Linked DNA regions of Oryctolagus cuniculus. The protein of the gene in region 3 interacts with the protein of the main gene of each other region in a pairwise test. Links are inferred from orthologs where the notes say so. Each region holds a gene or a part of one and is shown on either strand. Other genes may lie near its edges.

Region 1 (9,915 bases), on a different chromosome or scaffold from region 3:
GGCTGGTGCAGGCCAAAGCCAGGAGCCTGGAACTCCTTCTGAGTCTCCCATGTGAGTGGCAGAGGCTCCAAGCACTTAGGCAATCCTGCGCTGCTTTCCCAGGCACTTTAGCAGGAACTGGATGGGAAGTGGAGCAGTCAGGACTCAACTTCAGTTTGGGTTGCCAGCATCACAAGCTGCAGCTTAACCTGCTGCTTCACATCAGCCCCGCATGTCCGTTTCTGTTTATCGAAATCCTTAAAGTAGCATTGCAGATTTACAGGGAATACTTGCATCTGGCTAATACCACATAATTTGCCCAGATGGAGGATCTGTTTTAAAAGTTTTTTGGTTATCATATCTCTTATCGCTAATAAAATAAGCAATTCACTTCTGTTTGTGAAAGGACAGCTCTGTTTGTTGTTGGGGATCCAGATAGAGGAATGAAAAACGTTGCAGGGCTGGCGTTGTGCCATTGTGGGTAAAGCCGCTGCCTGCAGTGCTGGCATTCCATATGGGGGCCAATTCTAGTCCTGGCTGCTCCACTTCTGATCCAGCTCTATGCTATGCCCTGGGAAAGCAGTAGAAGATGGCCCAAGTCCTTGGGCCCCTGCACCCACGTGGGAGACCCGGAAGAAGCTCCCAGCTGCTGGCTTTGGGTCAGCACAGCTGCAGCCATTGCGGCCATTTGGGGAGTGAACCAGCAGATGGAAGACCTCTCTCTCTCTCTCTCTGCCTCTCCTCCCTCTGTAACTCTTTCAAATAAATGAATAAATCTTTAAAAAAAAAAAAAAAAGAATTGAACCTTGAATTACAACGTTGCTACAAGTAAAAACAAATTAAATTTTTTAAAAAAGGAGAAAACTGATAGTCTGACCTTTTCTAAAACTACTACTACTGCTTCTTTTTTTAAAGATTTATTTATTTATTTAAACATCAGAGAGAGATCATCATTCACTTGTTTGCTTCCTAGATGGCTGCAATGGCCAAACATCTGGGCATCCCTAGCCCAGTCAAGTTGACACATAAAATTAACCACAACAAGTCATCGAATATTATGGGTCACTGTAACTATCCCTCAGAACATGAATTGTTTAGTATCTTACTAAACTTTTTTTAACGATTTATTTTATTTATTTGAAAAAGTTACAGAGAGAGGTCGAGACAGAAAGGTCTTCATCTGCTGGTTTACTCCCCAGAGGGCCACAATGGCTAGGGCTGCACTTATCTGAAGCCAGGAACTTCTTCTAGGTCTCCCATGCGGGTGCAGGGGCCCAAGGACTTGGGTCATCTTCCACTGCTATCCCAGGCCATAGCAGAGAGCTGGATCCGAAGAGAAGCAGCCAGGACTAGAACTGGTGCCCATATGGGATGCCGGTGCTTTAGGCCAGGACTTTAACCCACTGCGCCACAGCGCTGGCCCTTCCTAAATTTTTAAAAAATATTTATTTATTTGAAAGAGTTACAGACAGGTAGAGAGTGAGGTCTTCCATCTGCTGGTTCACTCCCTAGATGGCCACAACTGCTGGAGCTGGGCCGATCAGAGGCCAGGAGCCAGTAGTTTCTTGTGAATCTCCCACGAGGGTTCGGGGCCCAAGGACTTGGGCCATCTCTACTGCCTTCCCAGGCCACAGCAGAGAGCTGCTTTGCTGGATGGGAAATGGAGCAGCTGGGACTCAAACCTGAGTTCATATAGGATGCTGGCACTGCAGGCAGTGGCAGCTTTTACCCACTCACTATGCCACAATGCTGGCCCCCTGCCTAAAGTTTTTTATTTTTAAAGATTTATTTATTTATTTTAAAGTCAGAGTTACAGAGAGAGAGAGAGAGAGAGGTCTTCCATCTGCTGGTTCACTCCCCAGTTGGCTGCAACGGCCGGGGCTGCATCGATCTGAAGCCAGGAGCCAGGAGCTTCTTCCAGGTCTCTCACGTGGGTGCAGAGAGCTGGATTGGTAGTGGAGCAGTTGGGACTCGAACTAGTGCCCATATGGGATGCCAGCACTGGAGGTGACAGCTTTATCCACTATGCCACAACACTGGCCCCTCAACATAAAAAGGCAACTCAACATTCCAAAAACAAAAATGGATAATCATCTTTTAGGGTTGGTAACATACATGTAGTGGAAAGTTGAGTGTTGAAATTAGATTGAGAATTAAATTGCTTTTCTGCTACTTGTCAGCTGTGGATTCTGGGCAGGTTGCTTGTCTGAGATGTAATCGTGTGACAGACTCTGTGACGTGACAGACTCTCCTCTGTAGTGGTGTTTAGATGAGAGGTGATCCATAGAAGATGTTTGGGATGCAGTCAGTAGTCAAACAAGACCAACCATTTGAAAGTTGACCATAAGTGATGCTGTCTAGGCCATTTTGTCAAAAGGCGTCCTTTGTGTGTTAAGTGATGCAACATTTTTTCATGGACTGGTGGTACTAAGTTTGTAGCATCATCTTGGTGTATAACTAAGTCCTTGGGATGTATTTATGCAGTGCTCACTCTAGCTTTCTCTTTTGTTCTTTTGACAGAGTTAAATTAGAAGAGAGAGGAGTTGCTGAGAATTCTGTAGTAGTCAGGAATGGTGATAGTACTCATTTTTTACCTAGAAAAGCAAAGAAGCGGGCATTTAAGTTGGAGGAGAACGAAGAAAGTGACATAGATTGCAAGTATTCAAAGAAGCATTGGAAAAGGCAAGAAAACAGTAGTAATAATGAGAAGGCCTTGGTTCCGCACACAAAAGCAGTCACAGAGCAGGCTGTGGGGAAAAAAAACAAGAGAAAGAACAAAGCAGCATGTGGCACGATGGATGACAATGATGAAGAAACCCAAAGGAAATCACCAAAGAAAAAAGAGAAATGTGAATATAAAAAGCAGACCAAGAATTCCAAGTCTCCCAAAGTGCCCGTGGTAAAAGAGTGGACCGCCCAGAACTGTAGTACTCCAAAAAGTCCTGCTAAGAACAGCCTGGCGAAAGCCAGAAGGAAAGCTGGTGTAGGCACTGTTTCAAAAGACAGCCCCAGTTCCTCCTCGGAGTCGGAGTCTTGTCACGAATCCACCAGTGATGGGCTCAGCAATGTCACTTCGGAGGCCAGAAATTCCTCAGAGAAAATTCCCACTGAGTTAGCAAAGGAAGGATCCTCTACAAAAAATACGACTGCAAACAAACTGCCTGCAAAAGGTGGCTTTAGCCTTACTCCGAGCCAGGGCAAGACCACCAGAACATCCTCGTCTAGTTCAGACTCGAGTTCAGAGTCGGATGACCAGTGCCTGCTGTCTAAGAGCACTCCCGAGAGTGCCTCGGGGCTCTTCAAGACGGCTGGCCTCTTCCCAGGGAGAGGCTGCCCAGGTCCAGGGCTGTCCTCACAGGTGCCACCTGCTGCCAGCTGGAAGTATTCTGACTTAAGCGGTGGCAGACAGGCTCCCGGTCCTCCCTCTGTTGCGACTCTCCCCTCCAGTCTAGGAAGAGGATGGGGTCGAGGAGAGGACCTTCTTTCTTGGAAGGGAGCCAGAGGTCGGGGCGCGCGGGGGAGAGGGCGAGGGCGAGGGCAGGCTGTGTCTGGTGTTGTAAACAGAAATGCTGACTATCAGAAGCAGAAGCAATTAAATGAAATGATAACAAACGCATCTACTTTTATCCAGGTAGGTATGATTGGTTGTAGCTTACCTCCCCCACTTTCCCATGGAGTGTATCTGGAGTTCATGTCATGAGTTTACGTTTTTTTACAAATACCAGTCACTTGACTAATGCTGTTTTTCAGAATCCAGTAGAGACACACAAGAAGGATTATAGTCTGTTACCACTCTTAGCAGCTGCCCCTCAGGTTGGAGAAAAGATTGCATTTAAGGTATGCTTTATTTTATTTATTTATTTAAAGATTTTATGTATTTAAGAGACACAGAGAGCTCCCATCTACTCGTTCACTCCCCAAATGCCCCCATTGTCTGGGCCAGGCCAAAGCTGGGAGCCTGGAACTCAACCCAATGTGGGTGGCGGGAAACTCAGTCCCTAAGCTGTCACTGTGCCTCTCAGGGTCTGCATTGGCAGGAAGTTGGAATCAGGAACCAGAGTCAGGCATCAAATCCAGGCATTCCAGTAAGGGGATGCGACTGTCTTAAATGGTGTCTTAGCTGTTAGATGAAAAGCCCCCCCCCCAAGGTATATTTTAAAACAGCAGTGATTGTAACCAAAATGGTTAACTCCATTTCCAAACAAACTTCACTCGTCTAGTCACATTAAATAATATTTATAAGAGCCCTTCTCACTGGTTGATGATAGAGTTCCCCTGGCTTGTGTGGGCACCTTTACATTTCACGATTTTCTCGGGTAGGAGGGAGGAGCTGTGGGAATGTGAAAGTGTACAAGAGCTTGGTATTTGTGACTTTTTTCTTCTGTAGCTTTTGGAACTAACATCCAATTACTCTCCTGATGTCTCTGACTACAAGGTAAAGTTGTTTATTTAAAAATAATTAAGTTTTCAGTATATTAATAAAATGAAAATTGTAGATAATGCTACTTAAATGAATAGTATAGAATTTTTTGAGTGAACAGTGTCATAAAGTAATGTAGAAAATGTAAACATCAACCTATAAACTTCTGAACAGCTGAATTCTGTCCATGCTGTTTTCCTGGCACTTGAGAAGAATATAGAATAAAAATTGATGAGCTTGATTTTTTTTCCTAATCAATTTCAACACATACTTATTTGAAAATCCACTCCCTCATGAGCCTAAATTTTGAAAGACCATATTATGAAAATAATAAATAGCTCTCACCTGGAAAAGATTATTTTTATTATAAGCATCTATTTCATGTATTTGTAAATGTCTTCTGATTATTATGGTCTAATATGATATCTTTGCATCATCACTTAACCATGTAGTTCACAGTCATCCTTGGAATTTACTCTCTTTATATCTGTATGAGACTCTGTCATACAAGTTTTTCATTGTTCAGTAAAAGCTTGTCACAGTGAGATTATGTTTCCTTCCCTTTTTTTCAACCAACAAAATTTTGATATAATCTTACTAAAATAAATACATACTCCTAATATGTACAATTTTTATGTCAGTTAAAAAGTCTTTTTTGGTATATGTCAGTTAAAAAGTTAAAATGTATACTTTCTTTTTTGGTATAATATGTAGAATTATAAGCATTAAAAATTTTATTTATTTATTTAGATTTATTTTTATTTATTTGAAAGGTAGAATTACATAGAGAAAGAGAGAGATAGAGAGAAATCTTCTATATACTGGTTCACTCCCCAAATGGTCACACCAACAGGAGCCAGGAGCTTCATCCAGGTCTTCCACATAGATGCAGGGGCCCAAGCACTTGGGTCATCTGCTACTGCTTTCCCAGGTGCATTAACAGGGAGCTGGATCAGAAGTGGAGCAGCCGGGTCTTGAACCAGTACCCACATGGGATGCTAGTGTTGCAGGTGGCAGCTTAATGCGTTATGCCACAATGCCAGCCTGTCAGTCTATATTTTTAATGTAATAATTAGTAATGCTGGAAGGAAAGTTGTTCTGGACTATCTTGGACAGCCCAGGGTGTTGTGTTACCCCACCATAGATAACTGATTTTCTGTGATATTTGACGAAATGGCAATGAATATTGAATTGATAAATTTAATAACCTCTGCCAATTATAGTTCTAGATCATATGATTTATTGTGTATTAAATTGGTACTAGTCACCATAGTTATTTCCTTGGCAGGCTGTCTGCTTACTTTAGTTCCCAATATTTTTTGGAGAGTTTTGAAATCACATTCAAAACCATTTTAAGAATTACAGTTGGTCCCACTCTTTTGCTTTGACCTCAGATGCTGAAATCGAGCTTGATCATCTGCTTTATTCGTTAAGCTCATCTCCAGAAGTCAGATCTATCCTCAAAGATATAGTCTCCCAGACTCCTGGCCACCATTTGGTTGGTTTTAAACACCACTGTTGGCTGTGCCCAGAAAAGCTGGGTAGAAGCAGGAGGAACTGACTGGTGGGCCTCACTGGGTGCCTCCAAAGGCTGCCGGTCTGTCTCACCACCACCCACATGCACAGGGCAGTGCACCCTCTTGATGCATTTGAAAACCAGCTCCCAAAGCTGGGGACCTGGAGGAAGGGACCTCTAATGCTGTCAGTGACAAAGGGACTTTCTGCTTGCAGCTTACTACCACTTGTAAAAGAGGCCCAGTTGGGACATGTGTGGCCTTCCCTGATGTTGTCACGAGCAAACCTCATCTGAGTTAATCATGCTGGCCCATGCTTTTCCTCTTTCTTCTATTCAGTCACTTTGATGACCTAGTCTAATCTTTACTTTTGTGTTCTTTAGGTCAGTGTCTGCCATTTGTGATTTAAATGTATCTATTTTGCTTCTGAGGGTAATTTTGTGTGTTCAAAGTGTTTATCAGAGAGAGGGGTTAAGAGAGGGAGAGAGATCTTCGATCTGCTGGCTCACTCCCCAAACGGCTGGGCCAGGCTGAAGCCAGAAGCCAAGAGCTCCATCCTGGTCTCCCACATGGCAGCCAGGGCCCTAACACTTGGGCCATCTTCCTCTGCTTTCCCAGGCACATTAGCAGGGAGCTGGATTCGAAATGAAGCAGACAGGACTGGAACTGGTGCTCCGATGTGGGATGTCGGCTTCATGAGCAGCAGCTTAATTTCCCCTGCACATTGATTTATTTAAATTTTTTATTGAGTTAAAATTCATGTAACAAAGAATTTACCAGTTTACAGTCTGTAATTCAGTGGTTTTAAGTATACATACCATGTTATATGTGTTGATATTTGACTCGGACTTTTATTTTTGAAAGGAAGGAAAAATACTAAGCCACAATCCAGAGACCCAGCAAGTAGATATAGAAATTCTTTCATCCTTACCTGGTGAGTCTTTTAGAAATGAATTTAAACATTTAGCCTGTACATACCTGTGGTGGTTTCTAAATAGCCAATAAAGAAACATCTATGGCTGCCACTTAGCCGGCCTCGCTGACTGGCGATATCTGTGCCCCTCTGTGCTATACTCCTCTTAGCCAGATCACTGGCAGTCTAAGAGGAGTTGGGCAAATTCTAACTGCTTTAATATGTACTTTCATCAAAAGTTATATGAACTGATGAAAACAGAAAAGAATTATTTCCAGGAATTAGGAACACCACTTTAAAAATGCTGTTAAATTATGTGTGGGTGGATCAGCTATAAAAGATTGGGAGACATTCTGTAAAAATTTAGGAAGATTCTGTACTTAAATTGCCTTGCAAAGTTTTGCATTCTTATGTTAATTAACAAAACAATGGAAATTGCAGACAATACATTATGGGCATTGTTTACCTAATGAACTCAAAAGAACTACTTAGTGTTATTTCAGAAGTTTGACAGGTGAACATACTTTTATGTATTAAGTCAAAGTAAATTTTTTAAAAAATGTTTCCCTGTTTTATCACTGATTAACCCATTAATGGTTCTGAAAGCCTGGAACAGAGAGCTGAGCTGTGCCAGAGGGTCCCTGGCTAGAGAGCAGGGGAGATTGTTTTCTTGGTTATTTTTTGCAGACCCTACTGCAGTTAATTGTTTTTTTTTTTTGTTTCTTTTTAAATAAGATAGGGAGTAGGAGATTCAAAATTCCAGTAGATAGAAATGTCACAAGTGTTTTTAGGTCAATTCCTATGTGATATTAAATAAATGATTAGATATAACTGTTTTAAGTTTTATTTATTTGAAAAGCAGAGTGACAGAGTGAAAGAGAAAGGGGGAGACAGAGAGAAAAAGAGATCTTCCACCTGCTGCTCTACTCCCCACATGGCCCCAAGGGCTGGGGATGGGCCAGGCCAAAGCTAGGAGCTTGGAATTCCATCTGGGTCTCTCACGTGGGTGGCAGGAGCCCAGATCCTGGGGCCATCCTCTGCTGCTTCCTCTGCATTATCAAGGAGCTGGGTCAGAAGTGCAGCAGCAGGGACTTGAACTAGGGCTCTGATGAGGTGTGCCAGTGTTGTAAGCAGTGGTTTAACCCTCTGTACCTCGGGTGTAACTTACAAGGAGAGCTTTCCAGCTTTCCTCTGGTGAAGTTTCATTGGTAGAAGCCCCTTTTCTCAGTGGACAGAGAAACTTGTCCATCTCAGTTTCCACAGACCCAGCCTGGTCATTTCTTGTCAGGTTGTTGCAGGTGATGACATCCAGTCAGAACTTTTCTTCTCCAGGGCATCAAGAAATTGGCCTGTAGAAGTACAAGGAGCCCTCTATTTGCATGATACTATTATATATGATTTTCAGTTACCATGCTTTAACCAGATAACACCAGTCCCCCAGTGCCATTGGGAATGTTAAGTGTGAGTAAGTCCCTAGAGTACTGCTGCTCTTCAGTCCTCAGATGGCTGTGTCAGTCATATACAGGCATCGTGACCTGTGACCAGTCTTGTCACTTCGAGAAGGGTTGCTGTGCAGCCGACATTTGGTTTACATACGCAGCAGAGCATGGAGTTGTGCTGTCTCCTTGTCTTACAGTGGCAAACCCACACAACATTGTACAAAAATGGGTAATTCTGAAAGGGGATTGCCCAACAAAGATAAAAGCGTGGTCAACAGCAAAATGGGACAGCAAGTGATAGAGCTGAAGGTGCCATCAAACTGAATTTTAGTGGCATTACAGAAGAAATAGCTAATGGCGGGAATGTGACACTGCCATTTATGTGAACTTGCTGACATAAACGAAGAAAGTAATTGTGAGGAAAAGGATGCAGATGGTCCCAGAAGTGCCCCCACCCAGCAAAACAACCGCACAGAGATGGCACAGAGGGAAAATGGAATGCGCTTTCATAGCTACTTTATGACATTAAAAGTTCAAGGGATAGAAGTGTTCAGGGCTGATCTAAGCTTAGGAAGGAGTGTGGCAGTTCTGCAAGGTGTAGAGGAGATGCCTGCTCTGCGTCCTGTCATACAAGAAGGCAAACACTGTGCAAGCCACGCTTGACATGTTTCTTACAAAGACATGAAAGTACTTCCACTTTTCGGTTTCTAATATTAAAGTATACCTCATAAATCCCAGTTCCACTTTCCTATACAGTAAAGGTTGTTAATGTTTTGATGAAAATTTTTAAAGCTCATGAGACCAGCATAGTTTGTACCATTGAGATCATTTTGCATGGTTTTTGCTTGCATGGTCATTGTTCTGATCTCTTACTACTGTGCAAAGCAGGGACTACATATATGATTTGTGAAGGCAGAACAACATTTCATGTGACCCCTCCCCTTATTATAACATATAAATGATATTTGAGAATTATCTTGTTTCACATTCTGTTCTGAGACTACGGGTGACAGTTCGTCAAGCTTGTTGCTTTTAGATGAAGGAGAGATCATCTCTGACCAAGAAACTCTGCTGTCACTGGCACAGGCTTTTCTAAGGGGTTCCCGTTACTGAAGAGCACCCCTTCCTGTACGTGCCCAGCTGTCACAACTGTCCACAGCTGTTCTCCCAGCGATAGAAGTCCCTGCAGAACACCTGGACTGTTGAGAGGTGGCTTACTGTCTTTCCTCCTTCCCTTCTGGTTTCAGCCTTGAAAGAACCTGGGAAATTTGATTTGGTTTATCACAACGAAAATGGCACCGAGGTAGTGGAGTATGCCGTGACGCAGGAAAGGAAGGTGGGCATGCCTCTCTCAGCTGATTACTGGGGTCCTGGGACATGACGTAGCTTCCTAAGCCGCCTGTGTTAAAGCCATAAAGGATCCGAGCCCTAGGGGAGCGTGCCCCTCCCGCAGAGTGGCAGTTACAGGTCTAAGTGCAAATCAAGGCACCATCTTGGACCTCAGAGAGCCTGTGTAACAAGTGGCACAAACAGGGTTTTGATGGGATCAGCAGGTTTGATGCAGTCTCCTGTGCATGTTTGTTTACAGTATGTGCAGCCCCACTTTTTTTTGTTGAATCCATTCCTGGAAACAGCATTAGAAAATTCAAC
Region 2 (10,015 bases), on a different chromosome or scaffold from region 3:
CATGCTGGAGACTCCAGGGCTCAAGATTCTGCGGCCCCTGGCAGCTGGGCCCCGGGCGGGCCGTGCCGGGCCGGCAGAGCTGGGTCAGAGCTGGGAGCAGGTGACTGGGCTCCATGCTCACCGCCCTCCTTCTCACCTCCGTAGACATCCCAGAAGTTCCCAAGGGTGCCTCCTCCCAGAAGAGAGTCCCCAGGTGAAGAGAGGCTGGAGCCCAAGAGGGAGCTGAAGGAGCCCGGGAAGGAGGGGGAGGAAGAGGTGCCAGAGATCCAGGACAAGGGGGAGCAGGAGGAGGGGCGAGAGCGCAGCCGGCGGGCAGCGGCTGTCAAAGCCACACAGACACTACAGGCCAATGAGTCGGTAAGTGTGACCAGGGACTTCCTCTCGCTGGGCCTGGGACTGCAGCTGGGCCTGGGGGCGTGGGAGGGGGGGCAGAGCAGGAGGTGCCCAGAGCACTTTATGCTGTGTGGGAGGCCCAGGATAGCACAGCTGGCAGGTAGCCTGAGTCTATTACTATTGCTATTACTATTGCTATTGCTATTACTTTCTACACTACACTGCTTTGGCTCTGAGAGTCAGCGGGAAAAGGCCTTCCTTGTGAGTAAGCCCAGCAGGTATGTGATGGGCTGGGGCCGCATGCGTGAGTTGTAGCTCAGCTGGGGCTCCCCCTGTAAGAGAGCTTGGTCCCTGATGAAGGGTCTGGAACAGCTGAGACGATGGCGGTGACAAAAATGGGTCCTCACACAAGTTCCCATCCGGTGCCTTCACTTCCATTACCTCAAGGGTTGATCCCCACTCTGCAGCGCTCACACCCCCCCCCCCCGGTCCTTTGATTCCCAGGGGTGCTCTGTGGGCCCACGAGGGGTAGGGCTGGGAAGGGGTCCGGGTGGGGAGCCATTTGCTTCCTCAGAAGCTGTGCCTGCACCTGGCGCTATAGCGGGGTCTACGCCCTCGGTGGGGTCCCCCGACTTTGTGAGCACTTTGCTGGGAGGCTCGGCCCAGGGCACAGACGCAGTCACTGCTGAGGGAACCTCTGGGGCTCCTCCAACCCCGGTTCCCCGGGCCGCGCCTCCTCCAGGTGTGCAGCTGGCGTCCTCGGCTCTCCCACTGTGGTCAGCGGTTCCCACGCTGTGCACTGGCCGGCGCCAGCGTCCTGCACACGCGCTCCTGTGTGGCAGCTTGTTTCCCCAGAGACAGTGGGCTCCTCTCAGTGGCCTGAGTCCCATTCATGGCATAGGTGCAGGCGCATCCGATGAGTCCTGTGCGCGCCGGGACTGTCCCACCAGCAAGTCCTTGAGCGCCAGCGCTGACCAGGGCGCCGGGCTTCCGAGGGGGCAGGGGGGCTCTGTCACAGGGAGATCGCCCTTTGGGGACCCTGTGTCCCCCGGAGGCCACGGGGAGGGATCTGTCCTCCCCGGAGGACTCAGCTCTCCTTGTTTCCTCCTCTCCAGGCCAACGACATCCTCATCCTCCGGAGCCACGAGTCCAACGCCCCCGGCCCTGCCGGCGCTCAGGCCCCAGAGAAGCCGAGGGAGGGCGCCGGGAAGTCACGGAGGGCACTGCCTTTTTCGGAGAAGAAGAAGAAAACAGAGGCGTTTAATAAGACCCAGAATCAGGAGAACACTTTCCCTTGTAAAAAATGTGGCAGGTGAGGACACAGACCCGACGGGGACGGCGCAGGGTGGGAGCGGCAGGGGCGGGGGAGGCGGGGGGGGGGGGCCCGGAGCGTCCGCCTTGCCTTCTGATTGGCTCCTCGCGTTTCTAGGGCGGTGACGTCACCGGGCAGCTTGCGGGAGGTGGGTGGTGGGTGCCCGCGCGTGCGCAGTGGGTCTCCCGGCGGTGGCGCCCGGCTCTGACCGGAGGCCCTCCGTTCCGGGCGGCCGCAGGGTGTTCTACAAGGTGAAGAGCCGCAGCGCGCACATGAAGAGCCACGCGGAGCAGGAGAAGAAGGCGGCGGCGCTGAGGCAGAAGGAGAAGGAGGCCGCGGCCGCCGCCGCCGCTGCCGCCGCCGCCGCCGCCCCGCACCAGCCGGCGCTGCGCGAGGAGAGCGGCGCGGGGGAGAAGGGCTGAGCCGCCGCCGGGCCCTCGAGGGGGAGTGCAGAGAGAGCCCCGTGGACCTGCCTCTGCCAAACCAATAAGACAGTGAAATAAACGGCTCTTTTATTTATAAAGGCCCAGGAGCAGTGTTAAGGGCTGCAGGATCCAGTTCTCTTCGCATCCGGTCTGTCGGGGCCGGCTCCCGCCGCTTCCCTCCGGCGCCTGCCGGAGCCGCCGTGGCCGCCAAGCACAAGTCCACCCGCTGCAGCGTTGTTCCCCCCCCGGAGGCTGCCGGCGGCCGGCCCTGTTCTGTCCCCGCCGGGGCCCAGGCCCGCGGCCTCCCGGAGGCTGCCCCCCACCCCCGGCCGGGGACTGTCCCCTGGCTGCTCGCTGGGCCGGCTCTGTGCCTGTTCCAGGGAAGGGAGCTGCGGGGCAGGGCCTGAGCTGGGGATAACCCCCCCCCCCCCATTTGCCAAACACGGCCCCGGAGGCCGCCTCGGAGCTTAGCCTCGAACTGCTCCTCGGTGCCAGCTCCCTGCTCGCCTCTGCCCTGCCCTCAGCAGCTGCCGCCTGATGCCCCCGCCCCATGCCACCCGCAGCCCTGCACGCTGGCGATCTCTGGATCCTTCTCTGGGAGGGGGAGGTCTCCTAACTAGATTGGACAGGAGCCTTCATTCCTTGACTCGTGTCATTTGGGAGCTATTTATTTATTCTTTAATATTTAATTTCTAACATCCTCTCAGGGACCAGGGGCCTCCTGCTTTCAGAGGCCCACGTGCATTTAGCCAAAAACGAGGCACCTTGGCACCCCCAGCCCACCCTACCCCCCCCCCCCCCCCCAGTTCCCGGACCTTGTTGCTGGGGGAAGCTCTCGCCAATAGGGTTGACGGTAGCACTGAGAGACAGCGGGAAGCTGGGTGTCAGGCACACGGAGACTAGCAGGGGCGGGGGATCCCAGGCAGTTCTTACTGCTGCCTCCAGGGAGTTGGCAGGCGGCCAGGATTCCGGTTGTGTTGATCAGGCCTGGATTCTGGCTTCCATATTCGGCAGGGAATCGCTCAACTGAAAGGGCCAGAGTGTTCTGGAAGCCCCTGTACTTGCCAGTCCCATGGAAGAGCTGTTGTGTTTCAGATCTTGTTACTCAACTTGAGTTGCACAAGAAATTCTAAGTGAATGCGTCTGGAACAGGTCAGCATGTCAGGAAGGAGCCGAGAAGTCTTCATTCTGCTGCTCCCCGGGAGCTGGGCTGAAAGGCATCCGTGGTAACTGGGAGCGGAAAGGGAGTTGTATTTTTAAACTATGCACTCTTAGGTATTTTTCAGCGTTCATTTATGCATTAATGTGGTTCTGCAGGATCCCAGCTATGGGAGAGACCAGTTTCTTTTCCTCCCAGCCTCCCCCATCACCTTCAGAGGAGAAGCTCTAGGTCCCAAGACAGCGAACACGTGGTGTGCCCTGCAGACACAGGAGGGTAGCAACTTCAGGCTCTCTTCTAAATCCTTGTGTAATATGAGTGCCTTCACAGCTTAGCCCCAAAGTGCTGCTTAGGTTGCCCGAGGTTTTTTCTATTTAAACCCTATTTGGTTTCAGGCCCCTTTATGGACATGTGGTAACAGAAGCCTCCTCCAGTCACCTGGGACCCTTCTGCTCAGTGGTAGCATTCAGGACTTGGATATCTTTTTAAATAAGAAAGTGATTCCACCCTAAGCTCACAGAGACCAGACCAGGTGAACGTAGCCGGGGACCTGACTGTGAATCCCGACAGACACCGGATTTGAGGGGCTGATGCTCCAGGATGCATTTGTTCCTCAGATGCGGTGGGGAAGGAAGCTGTTTCGGGGGCAGATGCGACCTGCCAGTAGCGTAGGTGCAGCCATAGAGGCTGGCAGAGGCGATCCTTAACGGTGCTTTCTTCTCCCTGGGAACACCCTAGGCTTGTCTTCTGTTGCTTTCCCTCCTATTCCGAGCTCTTTGCTGTAAGAAGTTAGACGAGAGACACCTCTAGCTTTGTAATCTCCCCACGCCGCCTCCCCATATCCATCTCCCAGTGTCCACCTGCCGTCAGCCACCGGCGTGACACTGCCCTAGTGCCTGTGTTCTGGACCGTCTCTGAGGTCTCTCCCATCCGAGGAGACGGTGACATCGTTCTGTCCTCCATGCCTTCGGCAGCGCCCCTCACCGCTGAGGCACACACTCGCCCCTCTGCCGCCGCACCTCCGCCCAGGCACGGAGGTCTCGTGCTGCTCACGGCCAAAGGAACTGCCCATACTTAACTGCCTCAGTGACCTGATCTCTCATGTGCCAGATGCCTAGATGAAGAAGGAACACAACACATCCCGAAGCCTCGGCTGTTTAGCACCCTCTCCACGGGGGCCCGCTTTTCTGGACAGTATTTATTACTAGACTGGCAAGCCTGACTCCTTTAGGTTTACAGGAAGTGTGCATATTTTTATAAAACAAGTGTCCTCCCCCCCCCATTTTGCTGTGTTACTGTTTGCCTCTAACGATTTGCAGCTGTTTCTGTTTCACCTTTTACTCATTTGTCTCCAAGTTGAAGGCCTTGTAGGAGGGGACAGCCTTGACAGTCTGTAATTATTGTACAAATATTTTAATAGCATATAAAGAAGTATATTCCTTTTATTTTGAAACAGATGATCAGACACTGCCTTTTGTGTGTTTGCTGCCTGTGGCAACCTTTTTTAAAAAAGACTGTTACATATGAAAATGGTGTACATATATATAAATATATAAATATTACCTCTTTGGCTGTACAGTTGTGATAGAGCAGATGGAAGATTTTATTTTTTGTGTGCTTTTTATATAAAAATTAATACACTAAAGAGAATCTTGCTGATGTGATTGTAATGTACCTATGTAACTTATTTACTTTTGAATGTTCTTCTGTATCTTTAAACCTTTCATTAAATAAGGTTTTAAAAATTCAGAGTTGGATGCTGTGTTCTTTTGGGGGATTTTCATCCTCTGAGATTGACCGAAGCGGCCCTTGCTCTGGCTTGAAGAGTACCCGAGGCAGGGATTACAGAATACTGGTGCGTTGCCAGCTGTAGGTAGGTAGGTGGCCGGCCTTTTGACTAAGTGTTAGATAAGAGGAAGTGGCCGGCGCCGCGGCTCACTAGGCTAATCCTCCGCCTAGCGGCGCCGGCACACCGGGTTCTAGTCCCGGTTGGGGCGCCGGATTCTGTCCCGGTTGCCCCTCTTCCAGGCCAGCTCTCTGCTGTGGCCAGGGAGTGCAGTGGAGGATGGCCCAGGTGCTTGGGCCCTGCACCCCATGGGAGACCAGGAAAAGCACCTGGCTCCTGGCTCCTGCCATCGGATCAGCGCGGTGCGCCGGCCGCAGCGCACCGGCCATTGGAGGGTGAACCAACGGCAAAGGAAGACCTTTCTCTCTGTCTCTCTCTCTCACTGTCCACTCTGCCTGTCAAAAAAAAAAAAAAATTAGAAAAAAAAAAAAGATAAGAGGAAGTGTCCAGTCTGTGTGTCACACAAGTGGGATACTTGGGAGCCTTCGTTTCCTCTGGATGAGATGCCGTCCACGCACCTGGCTTGATGCGCCAGTTGCATGAGCAAGTCAGCCACCACGGGTGATACCCACTAGTATCTGAAATCCGCTCCGGATTAGAAGACAGAAGCCCTCGATGCTTATTGGTATTTTTTTTTTCATTGTAAAAGTCTGGAACATCTGATGGCTGCGGTACCATGGCAACCGCTCCCCCCACCCCGCGCCGCTGCGCACGGAGTCTTCGGGAGCGCGTCGTCCGGGACACCGTTGCCATGGTCACGCGCGCGCGCCTCGCCGGCGACCTGGATCCGGTGCGGCGGCCGCGGCTCGCGGGCCGGCCCCGCCCTGCACTGCGGCGGGAACGCGCCGGCTGCCGAGCTGCGCCACAGCCGCCGCAGCCCGTCGCGCCACGCGAGCCCGGCCGGCCCCACCAGCCTTCGCCTCCCGCCTCGCTTCTGCATCCTTCCTGCGTCTTTGCTCCCCTCAGCCCTCGGTTTTCAGCGGTCCTCGCTGTCCGGAGGGGTCCCCGCGCCCGAGAAGAAGCCGCTGCTCGCCGGCTGGCCCGGCTGCCGCCGCGGTGACCTCGGACAGCCTCTCCCGCCGGGCCCGGCACGCCGAGCGCTCCTTCGGGCTGCCGCTCCTCGCCCCGCTGAGGGCCGGGCTCGGACCGCCAGCGCCGGGGCGACTCCGGGAGCGGCGGCCACGCCCCGCGGCCACACCCCGGCGCTCCCGGGCCCCGCGGCTCCCGCAGGCTGCACTCTGGGGCCGCAGACCCCGACCCGGGACGCGAGATGGCGACAGCCGCGTGACTGACTGAGCCCCTGCGAGGCCGCGCCGGGGAGCCGCAGACGGACAGCGGGGCTTGGGTGTCGCTTGTTACCAGCGACCGCGGGGACCTGCCGCCCGCGCGCCTGCTTGCGGGGAGTGTCTGGTGTTGGTTGGAGTTCGGGGAGCCGCAGTCTGATCCGTATCTGTCGAATCGGTACCTTTGATAGTTGGGAACATGGCGATGACGCTGTTGGAAGATTGGTGCAGGGGCATGGACGTGAACTCCCAGAGAGCGCTGCTGGTTTGGGGGATCCTAGTGAACTGTGATGAGGCTGAAATCGAAGAGACCCTCCAGGCTGCGATGCCCCAGGTGCCGTATCGAGTGCTTGGGAGAATGTTCTGGAGGGAAGAGAACGCGAAAGCAGCCTTATTAGAGCTCACTGGCGCTGTGGATTACGCCGCGATCCCCAGGGAGATGCCTGGCAAAGGAGGGGTGTGGAAAGTGCTTTTTAAGCCCCCCACGTCTGACGCTGAATTTTTAGAAAGGCTGCACCTCTTCCTAGCTCGGGAGGGGTGGACCGTGCAAGATGTTGCCCGCGTCCTTGGGTTTCAGAACCCGGCCCCGGCCCCGGGCCCCGAAATGCCAGCCGAGATGCTCAGCTATATTTTGGATAATGTTATTCAGCCTCTCGTGGAGTCCATATGGTACAAGAAGCTGACGCTGTTCTCGGGGAGGGACATCCCGGGGCCTGGGGAGGAGAGCTTTGACTGCTGGCTGGAGCACGCTAATGAAGTCATAGAGGAGTGGCAGGTGTCCGACACAGAAAAGAGGCGGCGGCTGATGGAGAGCCTCCGGGGCCCCGCCGCCGACGTCATCCGCATCCTCAAGACCAGCAACCCCGCGATCACCACCGGCGAGTGCCTGAAGGCGCTGGAGCAGGTGTTCGGGAGCGTGGAGAGCTCTAGGGATGCGCAGGTCAGGTTTCTGAACACGTACCAGAACCCGGGAGAGAAGTTGTCGGCTTACGTCATTCGTCTGGAGCCGCTGCTGCAGAAGGTGGTGGAGAAGGGGGCCATTGATAAAGAGAACGTGAACCAGGCCCGCCTGGAGCAGGTCATCGCCGGGGCCAACCACAGCGGGACCCTCCGAAGGCAGCTCTGGCTGACCGGCGCTGCGGAAGGGCCGGCCCCGAACCTCTTCCAGCTGCTGGTGCAGATCCGTGAGGAGGAGGCCAAGGAGGAGGAGGAGGAGGCTGAGGCCGCGCTCCTGCAGTTGGGCCTGGAGGGGCACTTCTGAGCCCCAGGAAAGAGGGCTGCCGTGCAGACCCGGCCCGCAGCTGCTGTCCTGGTCCCGAGTAGTAAAGGCCTAGCTGCCTGCTGTTTTCGTTGTGTTTTTCTTGGAGGGAGGGGGTTCTGGCCTGCCCGTTCCTGTAACTCCGCCGACACTGCACAGAGCATGGGGAGCTGCTACAATGCCGATGGGCTTGCTGGCTGCGGCGCCCGCTGTCGACATGCCGGCACCCTCGGCTGTGACAAGTGTGAACCCGTGACTCTTCCCATGGAGATAAATGTGAAGTCGCACGTGCAGATGTTTAGCCCAGGGCCTGGCTCGCAGGAACCGTGAACCATCACATTGTTATCAGCGTCGAGGCTAGTGTGTGTTGACTGTAAATCATTCCATGTTTATATTAATGGAAAGAAACGTGCATTGTTTAGGTAATACTGCTCAGCCTCACAGTGCAAATCTCTTAGTGCTCATCTTTAAAGAGCCGGATCTGTGGAACAGAGTGTTCTGAGACTCCAGCTGGGGCGCTGGAAAAGGACTGCAGTTCCGGAGCTGTGCTGATCAGAGGTCGCGCAGAGAAACCACCTGGGGAGATGGCTAGGACCCGGTGACAGTGACCCACCCATCCCCCCACTCCCCTTCCAGTCCTTGTCAAAATAGTTCTTGTTCACCCAGATTTTAAATGTTCTACATTTGAACTTATCAAATAGATGTATAAGAATAAAAATATTTTAAAAACTATCGCTGTCTAGTTTTTCCAACATATTTAACATTTTTCAGTGTAATTAAGCTGTTTTCTTTTTTCTTAGGAAAACTTTCCCCCATGTCATAAAAAAGAACCTTTTACTTAAAAAAAAAATAGTGAGATGGAGCGCTCCCACAATGTGTGTGTATTAATGTATCCAATATTTATGTGTTCTTCAAGGCTAATGTTAGGCTATAAACAGACATATAAGTACAATATTAACTTACTAAAAATTTTTAGAAAATCCTAAAAAAGGCTCAGGAGATAATCTAGAAATAGTTGTTTTTCCCTTCCCTTTTTATATTTTTTAGCTAAAAATTTTTGCTTCACTGAAGAAGTGGAGCCATTTTATATCAACATATAAAAGGGAAACACAGCTTAAGGTCATGTGCACTTGGCTGCAGATGTCAGTGACAAGATGACCATCCATCGAGACCCTCAGTAACCCCAGTGGTTGCAGCCATGTTAAGAGTTCAGTGGAGTCTTCCCCCAATAACGTTTAAAATGACCACTGACTCATCTAACAATCACACAGTACATAATTTGTACTTTAGACTGCTATTAGTACATATTCTTCCAGATTTTTCTGTACTCACTCGTGTCCTCACCTCCCTCACAACCATCTCCACATGCTTGCCTCCCTCCCCACCACCAACAGACAAACCTTTTCACAACCCCAACCCCCAACAGGTACCACTCCTGGGCCCCTGCCCAACTGGCGGCTACACTGACAGCTTCCCCTCCCTCCCACCGGCATCGGGAGTGCATACACTCCCCCACCCCTGTCTGCATGCATTCTCTCACTGCCCCTGCCAATACTCCATCATAAACACTCCCTCCTTTCAAACACAGGGGCACCATGCCAGTCTCCCACCCCAACACACATTCAGGTTCTCACACACATGCACACACACCCTTGAACAGCCAGCACACATGTACACACCACACACCCATGCACACATACATCGCATTCTTAAAAGCTAGTTTTTTTCAATACATGCCAAGTTGATTGCTTCCTGGGAGGGAAGGTCATCACCTAGGAGTTTATTTAATTTCATAACAATTGTACCAGTTTGCATTAGGTATGGGAATACTTCAAAAGTTCATGGGAAATGGAATTAAAAGGTTAATTTTGGTGTAATTTTGCTTTAATCCTTGCATAGGAAGACCCTTCAAGAAATTCATGAAAAATGGGTAGGATGAAAAAATGTGCATGGATTTCAAAAATTTTTTGCACTAAAGTAAATGTGTCTTTTAATTCCATTTTTCCATGAACTGTCTCAAGCACCCTTGTATATGACGTTTAAAAATACTGGGGTGGGCATTTATCATAGCAGTTAAGATGCTACCTGGGGTGTTCGCATCTCATCAGAGTTCCTGGGTTCAAGTCCAAGCTCCATTTTTTAAAAATGTATTTATTTATTTGAAAGTTAGGGCTACACAGAGAGAGAAGGAGAGACAGAGAGAGAGAGAGAGAGAGAGAGGTCTTCCATCTGCTGATTCACTCCCCAGATGGCTCAGAAATGTAAATTTTCTGCTTCTTAAGGAAGGACAGCAGCAAAAAACTTTATCCTCATCATTAAAGAACTTCAGGAAAGAAGCAGAAACAGCACTACCGTTGCATTCTGTGGCCAACACTACACCGTGGCTGACGGTACAGAAC
Region 3 (9,915 bases):
GGGGTCTGATTTCCTTCTAATTTCATCGACCACCTGAATCTGGGAGTGTGAGCCTGAACCGATGGGGAGGCTGCGGGTAGTCATTGTTGGGGCCTGTTCACAAGTTGCACCATCTTTATAGGAAGCTCTCCCCTTTAGTGATGGCGTCCGTTGGCCATCAGGGAAATTCCCCTTGGCAGTTGGGCCCCCCTGCCTCTGTTTCTTGGTTGGCTTTTTTTTTTTTTTAAAGATTTATTTTATTTATTTTAAAGACAGAGTTACAGAGAGAGATAGATCCAGAAAGAGAGAGAGGTCGGTCTTCCATCCGCTGGTTCACTCCCCAATTGGCTGCAAGGGCTGGAGCTGAGCCGATCTGAAGCCAGGAGCTTCTTCTGGGACTCCCACATGGGTCCAGGGGCCCAAGGACTTGGGCTATCTACTGCTTTCCCAGGCCATAGCAGAGAGCTGGATCAAAAGTGGAGCAGCCAGGACCCAAACTGGCACCTATATGGGATGCCTTTGCTACAAGCCAGGGTTTTAACCTGCTGTGCCACAGTGCCGCTCCCCCCTTGGTTGGCTTTTTTAAATTATTTATTTATTTATTTATTTTTTTGACAGGCAGAGTGGACAGTGAGAGAGAGAGAGACAGAGAGAAAGGTCTTCCTTTTGCCGTTGGTTCACCCTCCAATGGCTGCCGCATCCCACGCGCTGCGGCTGGCGCACCGCGCTGATCTGAAGCCAGGAGCCAGGTACTTATCCTGGTCTCCCATGGGGTGCAGGGCCCAAGGACTTGGGCCATCCTCCACTGCACTCCCGGGCCACAGCAGAGAGCCGGCCTGGAAGAGGGGCAACCAGGACAGAATCCGGTGCCCCGACTGGGACCAGAACCCAGTGTGCCGGCGCCGCAAGGCGGAGGATTAGCCTGGTGAGCCGCTGTGCCGGCCCTTTGGTTGGCTTTTAAAAAGGCCAGCTGTTTACAGAGTTATTCTCCAGTTACATTGTGACGCAGACTCTCCTTCTATCTCCACTTGTGAGCCTGGGAAGTGGAGGGGTTGAGATTTGAACCAGGTACTTGCCTGCCCTTGCCTACAAGGTTCCCTGTTCTGTCTCTTATTCACTCTGTACTATACACTTGGGATTCCCACTCACTTCTCCAGGAACGCCTTGCAGGTAAGAACTTGTAATTTTTATCTTTGTGTCTATGTTTCAGCAGCACAGTTTCCTATTATTAATAAGGAGCAAGTACTTAAAAATAAGTTATAATGAGAGTCTGAAGTGAGCTAAGGCAGAGATGACTTCTGGCAGGGGTAGAAGTTCCCAAGTGGATTCCTGGGGGAGAAAGCTTTTGAGCTGGAGCCTGTGTGGCAGAGGGAGGCCGGGCAGGTTGCTGCAGGGGATGGAGTACCATGAGCAAGGCCCATGGAAGGGAATGGAGGACTGTTAGGGGAGCAGCTGTGAGTCACTGAGCAGGAGCACAGAGAGTGTCTGTTTCTGCCTTCCCAAGACAGAGTTGGAGACAAGCAAAGCCCTCGCTCTTATGACTCAGCAGTTCCAGTCTCGTTGCCTTTTCCACTTCCCAGGGGTCGAATGGGCCGAGATGCAGTAACGGGCTTTGTAAACTCTGAGCTATGTGCTGTGGAAGCGGAAGACGGTCGGTAGAGCGTGTGTTTTATCATACTGCTGCCTGTGAGAGCATTTTACCCCTCAGGAACCAAAGCAGCAGACTGCCCTCATGTCCCTTGATAACTGGAGGTCCCCTTCAGCCCTCGGCTGCGCTGGTGAGAGAGAGAGAGTGTGTCCATGCTGTGGGGCTGAGCAGGAGAGGCTGTCCTTAACCTTACCCTAATGCCTACAGATTGCAGCTCGGCTGTTGTTCAATTTTTCCCCTTTTAATTAGGAAAATAGCACAGAACTGAAAAGTTACATCCTGATTTCCTCTCCAGGCTAGCTTCTCAAGTCGTCCCCTTTGAGGTTTTTGGGGTAGTGGTTAAGCTGTCAGGTAAGATGCCTGCATCCCACATGGGAGTCCTTGGGTTTGATACCTGGCTCTGGTTCTGACTCTGACTTCCTGCTAATGCAGACTGTGGGTGGCTTAAGCAGTTGGGTTCCTGCCACCCTTGTGGGAGACCTGAGTTGAGTTCCCAGCTTCCAGCTTTGGCTTGGCCCAGCCTCGGTGGTTGTTATGGGCATTTGGAAAGTAAACAAATAGATGAGAGTTCTCTCTGTCTTTGTTTCTCAAATAATAAATAGACAAGAAGTCCCCTTTGTTAATTGTTCAGAGGAGATCCTTACACACTTCCTCTGTACTCATGCATGCATATGTACTTCTGAATCAAATGTGTGTCCTTATATGCACATGGCTTACAAAAAATAAAGCAGGGGGCCAGTGCTGTGGAGTAGCAGGTAAAGCTGCTACCTGCAGTGCCAGTGTCCCATATGGGCACTAGTTCGAGTCCCATGCTACTCTACTTCTGATCCAGCTCTCTGCTATGGCCTTGGAAAGCAGTAGAAGATGGCTTAAGTCCTTAGGCACCTGCACCCTTGTAGGAGACCTGGAGTAAGCTCCTGGCTCCTGGCTTTGAATTGGCCCAGCTCCAGCCATTGTGACCATTTGAGGAGTGAGCCAGCGGATGGAAGGCTTCTCTCCTTCTCTACCTCTGCCTCTCTGTAACTGTATCTTTCAAACAAACACATAAATCTTAAAAAAAAAAAATGTGTTGATATTCTGCACTTTGCTTCGTCTGTCCAGCTATATACATGGAATTTTTTTTTAAGATTTATTTTTTATTTATTTGAAAAGCAGAGTTAGAGAGAGAGAGGGAGAGGGAGAGACAGAGAAGTCTTCCATCCACTGGTTGACTCCCCAAATGACCACAATGTCTGGGGCTGGCCAGGCCAAGGCCAGGAGCCAGGAGCTTCTTCCAGGTCTCCCACATGGGTGCAGGGGCCCAAGGACTTGGGCCATCCTTCACTGCTTTCCCAGGCCATATGCAGGGAGTTGGATGGGAAGCAAAGCAGCTAGGACTTGAACTGGCATCCATATGGGATACTGGCGCCACAGGTGGTTGCTTTACTCACTGTGCCACAACACTGGTCCCAATGACATGGACATTTTTGCATTAAAAAAAAAAAGATTTAATTATTTCCTTGAAAGGTGTAGTTGCAGGGAGGGAGGGAGGAAGGGATAGAGGGAGTGAGAGAAAGTCTTCTATCCCCAAATGGCCCCAATGGTTCACTCCCCAAATGGGCCCAATAGCCAGGGCTAGCCAGGAGCTTCTTCTAGGTCTTCTGTGTGGGCGCAGGGACTCAAGTACTTGAACCATCTTCTGCTTTTCCAGGTACACTAGCAGAGAGCTGGATGGGAAGTAGAGCAGCCAAGACTTGAACCACCGTCCATATGGAATGTTGGCGTTGCAGCCGGCAGTGTAATCCACTATGCCACAACGCTGGCCCTGACATTTTTGCATTTTCCACATAAATGTACTGATGTCTTTTATCATCTGCGTGGTATTTGATTATACGGCTGTGACACAGTTTACTCAGCGTTCGCTGCTTGATAGGCTCCTGGACTTTTCAAAATTATAAACAGTGCCGCGGAGAGTTTCTTCATGTTTACACTTCACGCGCTCATGGCCATTTTTCGGTGGAATAGTTTCCTAGAGGTGAAGTTGCCGGGTCAAAAGGGTATACAGTTAATGTCTGTAACCATTTCCATCGTTTATTTGACCACCTTCCCAGACACTGGACTTTTAGTCTGTTTTTAGGGTTTTGTGTTTGCTTTATTGTATTTTGCTGTTTTAAGGAGGGTTGTATTAGTGTTGTACTTGTAACCTTTTTTTTTTTTTAATGTGCATTAAGGGGCCTTGGCATTCACCACCCAGATGTGCTTTTCTTCCTAGGATTACCACGTTGTTTTGCTCCATGTGTCAAGTGGAGGACAGAGCTTCATCTATGACCTTGATACTGTCCTGCCCTTTCCCTGTCCCTTTGACACTTACGTAGAAGATGCCTTTAAGTCTGATGATGACATTCACCCACAGTTCAGGAGGTGAGGAGATTCGGCTTGGATTTACGTACATACTTTCTGAAGTAAGACACTGGGATCATGCTAAGGTTATTATTTTATTTTTTTTTATAAAGATCACTTGTCTTGGCATCATCACTGAGTTGATATTTTGATATTTTGAATGACGTGCATGCTACACTAGAGATTCCAGATGTTTTAAAAGTTTTAAAGGTTACCCATCGCATAAAAGGTTGGGAGTCTTTAAAGTTGTGTGATGATCTCAGACATTTTCTTTCAGGCATGCTGGGGAGTTCTCTCCTGCTCTTGTTTGCTCAGGCGGAATGAACGCCTCATGCTGGCAGCACCAGAAAATCATGCAGTTTACCCCAGTACACAGCTGAGTCAGAGGAGGCAGCCTTTTCTGCCTAAAAACAGGCATCCATTCTGTGCCTTTGTAGCTGTGGATTTCAGCTGGCTTCCCTATGTACAGTAAAGCTGCACATGTATTTGTGTTTTGCCAGCAGTACAAACACATGTGAGTGGTTTGCACTCATCATAGGAACCGAGTGCATCTGAAAATGGAGGTACAATTTCCAGTGTGATGCCTTGCTCATGTCAGTGTGTGCTGATTTACGTGCAGGAAATTTAGAGTGATCCGTGCAGATTCATATCTGAAGAACTTTGCTTCCGACCGATCGCACATGAAAGACTCCAGTGGGAACTGGAGGGAGCCGCCCCCGCCTTATCCCTGCATTGAGACTGGAGGTGAGCCAGGCAGGCCTTCCCGGAAAGGTTTCTGATCGAGCACTGCACAGCTCAGCATTTTCTCTTAACAAGGACAAAAATGAGATCATTCTTTGGCTAAAACTCCCTGAGTGGTGAGAAGGTGAGAGAGAGCACTTGTTCTGTGTGTTGAATTCATTAATGGAGCCACACAGAACAGGACTGGAAAGCATAGGAACTCATGGGAGAGGCACACAGAACCACGCCACTGGCACACTGCTGGGCTGTTACATGGTCCTGGGCATTGGGAGGTTTAGCACTGGGGCTAGTAGCACCTTGCTCGGGTAGGGTTTCATGTGATGGTGAAAAAAATTCCCTTATAGCATATGAAATGTCATTTCACTGATTGGGTAATGAAATCTGAATTAGAGGGAGGTGAGAGCTAGCAAGTTTTATTGTACCACTCATTGCATTTGTGTGCTTTTAGGCAGCAATCCAAATGATCATTTTCTGAGATTTAAGGAGATAAAAGGTTCTTCACACTATTAATGCTGTTTGGCATTTGTCTGAGTTTGTAACCTTTTATGATTGTAAGTAACTCACAGCATTTCCCTCTGTTGGTGAGATCATCCCAACACGTGGACCATACAGTCTGTGAAAGTGTTTTATGAGCTATTCAGTGCACCAGAGAAATCAGTGAGGTGTCACTCAGTGAGTGGTGCGGACACATTCTGAGTAATGTGTTGCTAGGTGATTTTGTCTTGTGCAAACATCACAGTGTTTTTGTACCAGCTAAGGTGGCTGTGATGTCACTGGGTGATAGAATGGCATAAGACCCCTTTGTATGTGTGATCTGTCATTGGCTCAAGCATTGTTATGTGGCACATAGCTATATTAATAGTTCAGTGAGGAAGAAAATAAAATTGTGGTGTTTGAAGGGCAAGAACGCTGACCGAGGGTTCAAGCCCTGATGTCTTGAGGCTCACTGTAAAAACCTCTCATAATTAAAAAATTGTATATTGAAATTGCTTCCCAGTTCACCAGCTCACTTTGGTTGCTTTGGAATTGGGAAAGCTTCTGGGTCAGGAGAGGGCCTCGTAGGTCCACCCACTGTGCAGGGCCAGCTCTAGGCCTCAGCACCTACCTTCAGTACCTACCTACCCTGTATCTTTTGGATGTAGCTACCCCAGACAGAGCCTTGCACACAGTAGGCACAGAATAAACAAACACTATCTTGCCAGCACTGATTCTATTTGGGCCATTTCTTAGTTATTGATTTTTTAAAGTTTTACTTATTTTTTATTACTTATTTATTATTTTTATTTATTATTATTATTATTATTATTTATTTATTTGAAAGAGTTACACAGAGCAAGGAGAGGCAGAGACAGAGACACACAGAGAGAGAGAGAGAGCGAGCGAGCTCTTCTATCCGATGGTTCACTCCCTAATTGGCCACAATGGCTGGAGCTGCGCGATCTGAAGCCAGGAACCAGGAGCTTCTTCTGGGTCTTCCACGTGGTTGCAGGGGCCCAAGGACTTGGGCCATCTTCTGTTTTCTCAGGCCATAGCTGAGAGCTGGATTGGAAGTGGAACAGCTGGGTCTCAGACTGGCACTCATATGGGATGCTGGTGCTTCAGGCCAGGGCGTTAACCTGCTGTGCCACAGCGCCGGCCTCTAAAGTTTTACTTATTTATTTGAAAGGCGGAAATACAGAGAGAGAAGGGGAGATAGAGATAGATAGATAGAGATCTTTCATCCACTGTGTTCACTCTCCAAATGGCTGCAACAGCCGGGACTGGGCCAGGCCAAGGCCAGGAACCAGGAGCTTCTTCTGGGTCTCCCACGCAGGTGCAGGGGCCCAAGGACTTGGGCCATTTTCTACTGCTTTTCCAGTCCATAGCAGAGAGCTGGACTGGAAGAGGAGCAGGCAGGACTCGAATTGGCACCCATATGGGATGCTGGCAGCACTATAGGTGGCGGCTTTACCCGCTACACCAATAGCACCGGCCCCCATTCCTTAGGTTTTGTTAACTGCTCCTCATTCGATGCTATTTTGTGCCAGACTTTTGCCAACTCCTTTACATACTAGTTTAATTTCATCTTTACCACAACCCAAGTTTTATTTTCTTCCATGATAAATGAATAAAATGAAGAGAATGAAGGTTAAATAAGTGCCTTGCCTGAAGTACACAGTGCTGGAGGGAGAATTTCTTTTTTTTTTCTTTTCTTTTTTTTTTTTTTTTTTTTTTTTTGACAGGCAGAATGGACAGTGAGAGAGAGAGACAGAGAAAGGTCTTCCTTTGCCGCTGGTTCACCCTCCAATGGCCGCTGCCGCCGGCGCGCTGCGGCCGGCGTACCACACTGATCCGATGGCAGGAGCCAGGTACTTATCCTGGTCTCCCATGGGGTGCAGGGCCCAAGTACTTGGGCCATCCTCCACTGTACTCCCTGGCCATAGCAGAGAGCTGGCCTGGAAGAGGGGCAACTGGGACAGAATCTGGCGCCCCGACCAGGACTAGAACCCAGTGTGCCGGCGCCGCAAAGAGGGAGAATTTCATACATGCCTCATGACGTAGTTTTTTGTCAGGAGTCTCCTGAACTTGAGATTGAACCAGAAGGATTCCACTCTGAAGTGTGGAGTAAACATCTGGATAATTTAACTAGATTGTAACATTCTCTCATGTGGTAAATTAATTGCCTGAAACCATATATTTATCAAAGGAATACATTAGGGATTAGGATAAGTGTGAATTGCTTTTAGCTAATCAGTAGTGCTTTATAAAAAAAAATTAAGATTTAGAAAAAAAAATGATTCAAGAAAGTAAACTTAAAAAAAAAAAGATTATTTATTTAAATGCAGGATTACAGAGAGAAAGGAAGAGAGAGAGATCCTCCATCTGCTGTTTCACTCCCCAGATGGCTGCAATGGGCTGGGCTGGGCTGTTCTGCACCCCTTCATGTGGGTGCAGGAGCCCAGGAACTTGGGCCATCCTCTGCTGCCTTCCCAGGCACATTAGCAGGGAGCTGCATCGGAAGTGGAGCAGCCAGGTCTTGAACTGGTGTCCATATGGGATATTGGTGTTGTGGGCAGTGGCTTTAATGTGCTGGCCTCAAGTGCCAGTGCTGGCCTCAAGAAAACAAACTTTAATGCATGTTGGATACATGTGTTAACAGTAGCAGCTTAGCATTTGGTAGGTTTCCTGTGTTTGTTGTATATCATTTATAATACTGTACATTTAGTGAATTCAGTGGCCATGTGTCTGCAGGAGGATCACTGTTTTGATTCAACATTTAATGTGTTTTGAAGAAAGCCACTTGGGTTTTTCCTGGCAGGGAAACAGATTTACCATGAGGATGTGAATTAGTCCTTTGGCAGCTTTGGGAGTTATCAGGCCTACTGATTTCTGGTGCTGCTTCCCCTGGCTTCATGAAGTTTCACCCCATGTAAGAGATCAGTGCTTGGATGAAGACTTGGCTGCGGCTGGGTAGGGGGAATCCCTCAGCAGATCGCTGGAACTCTTTTCTGTGTAGCTGTCTCCTCTGTGATACACCACCCCTCAAATCCTGGGCCTTCCAGAACTTCCATTTCTGTCTTCTCGCCTTGGGAAACTGCTTGGCCCTTTGTGCCCTGTCGCTGCTGTGGTCCTCAACCCCTCAGGCAGTGCCAGCGAGGGAGTCCCAGGGCTGCCCTCTTTTGTGTCTGTTCCTTAGAGATGGCAGGCCTGTGCTGCCCATTGTCCACTGTCTGGGAACAGTTGTTCCATATAGGTTGCCTGGTTTTCTCTAAGTATATGGTAGACGTGCAGTTGCTGTAACAGTTCTTGGATAGGCAGAAGCAGAAATCTGTACATATGTCTAAAAGTTTTTATTTTGGACATGGAAGGTTTAAATTATATATGAGAATAAAAGAATGCATCAGACTGTCAGCACTTAGCAGTTCAGAGCTCATTGATCCATTTGTGCCCATCTACTTTCTCCCTCCTGTATTACTTTGAAGCAAATCCAAAATATGTCCTTTTAGTATATATCCCTAAAATGTAAGGATTCCTTTTTTAAAAATACGTGGCTGGAATACCATTGTTACATCTATTGTAATAACATTTTTTTAAAAGATTTATTTATTTTACTTGAAAGAGTTACACAGAGAGAGGAGAGGCAGAGAGAGAGAGAGGTCTTGCATCTGCTGGTTCAATCCCCAGTTGACCACAACGGCCAGAGCTATGCTGATCTGAAGCCAGGAGCCAAGAATTTCTTCTGGGTCTTCCACGAGGGTGCAGGGACCCAAGGACTTGGGCCATCTTCTACTGCTTTCCCAGGCTATAGCAGAGAGCTGGATAGGAAGTGGAGCAGCTGGGACTCGAACCAGCACCCATATGGGATGTTGGCACTGCAGGCGGCAGTTTTACCCGCTACGCCACAGTTCTGGTCCTATAATAACAGTTCTTTAAAGTCATCATGCATATATATCTAGACAGTGTTCAAACTTAGTTATCTCATGAAGTTCTAGTTTTTTTAAACATTATTTATTTACTTGAAAAGCAGAGTTATGGAGAGAGAGAGATAAAGAGGTATTCTACCCACTGGTTCATTCCTCCAAATAAGTTGCAATGGCCAGAGCTAGGCCATTCCGAAGCCAGGAGCCTCTTTGGATCTCCCACATGGGTGCAGGTGCTCAAGCACTTGGACCATCCCCTACTGCTTTTCTCAGGCCATTAGCAGGGAGCTGGATCAGAAGCGGAGCAGCCAGAACATGAACCAGCATCCATAAAAGATGCTGGCTCCATAGATCGTGGCTTTACCTGCTAGGCCGTGGCGCCAGTCCCTTAACCTTTTTTTTTCTACTTTGTTTATTCAAATCAGGGTCCAATTGAGGCTCCCATATTATTCTTGCTTGATATGTCTCTTTTTTGCAAGATTTATTTGAAAGACAGGGTGATGAAGGGAGGGAGGGAGAGAGAGAGAAATAAGATCAGAGTGATCTTCCATTTGCTGGTTCACTCTGAGAGAGGTAGCAGGGAGAGATATGTAGATCGAGAGTGATCTTTCATCTGCTAGTTCACTCCTTGAGTGCCTGCAATATCTGAGGCTGGGCCAGGCCAAAGCTAGGAGCCAGGAATGTCATCTGGGTCTCCCACACGGGTGGTAGGAATCCAAGCAATTGGGTCACCATCTGCTGTCTTTCTAGGCACATTAGCAGCAAATT

Evidence for each region.
Region 1: the proteins of NTAQ1 (region 3) and COIL interact in binary tests that used the Homo sapiens proteins (3 or more experiments, as listed by UniProt). The link is inferred for Oryctolagus cuniculus from reciprocal best matches to the Homo sapiens genes NTAQ1 and COIL.
Region 2: the proteins of NTAQ1 (region 3) and PNMA1 interact in binary tests that used the Homo sapiens proteins (3 or more experiments, as listed by UniProt). The two-hybrid records come from large-scale screens. The link is inferred for Oryctolagus cuniculus from reciprocal best matches to the Homo sapiens genes NTAQ1 and PNMA1.

Annotation. Positions count from the first base shown.
Region 1 is NC_091448.1:32,532,455-32,542,369, reverse strand, and holds part of COIL (coilin), read left to right. Parts: intron 1-2,499; coding exon 2,500-3,610; intron 3,611-3,729; coding exon 3,730-3,816; intron 3,817-4,366; coding exon 4,367-4,414; intron 4,415-6,777; coding exon 6,778-6,847; intron 6,848-9,512; coding exon 9,513-9,601; intron 9,602-9,915. UniProt on the Homo sapiens protein: Component of nuclear coiled bodies, also known as Cajal bodies or CBs, which are involved in the modification and assembly of nucleoplasmic snRNPs.
Region 2 is NC_091451.1:19,887,076-19,897,090, reverse strand, and holds PNMA1 (paraneoplastic antigen Ma1), read left to right. Parts: upstream 1-5,506; 5' UTR 5,507-6,557; coding exon 6,558-7,619; 3' UTR 7,620-8,348; downstream 8,349-10,015. Other genes in the region: MIDEAS (mitotic deacetylase-associated SANT domain protein), read left to right, coding at 145-357, 1,449-1,645, 1,884-2,067.
Region 3 is NC_091437.1:149,148,450-149,158,364, forward strand, and holds part of NTAQ1 (protein N-terminal glutamine amidohydrolase), read left to right. Parts: intron 1-3,317; exon of another isoform or gene 3,318-3,587; coding exon of another isoform or gene 3,588-3,641; intron 3,642-3,878; coding exon 3,879-4,027; intron 4,028-4,625; coding exon 4,626-4,750; intron 4,751-9,915. UniProt on the Homo sapiens protein: Mediates the side-chain deamidation of N-terminal glutamine residues to glutamate, an important step in N-end rule pathway of protein degradation.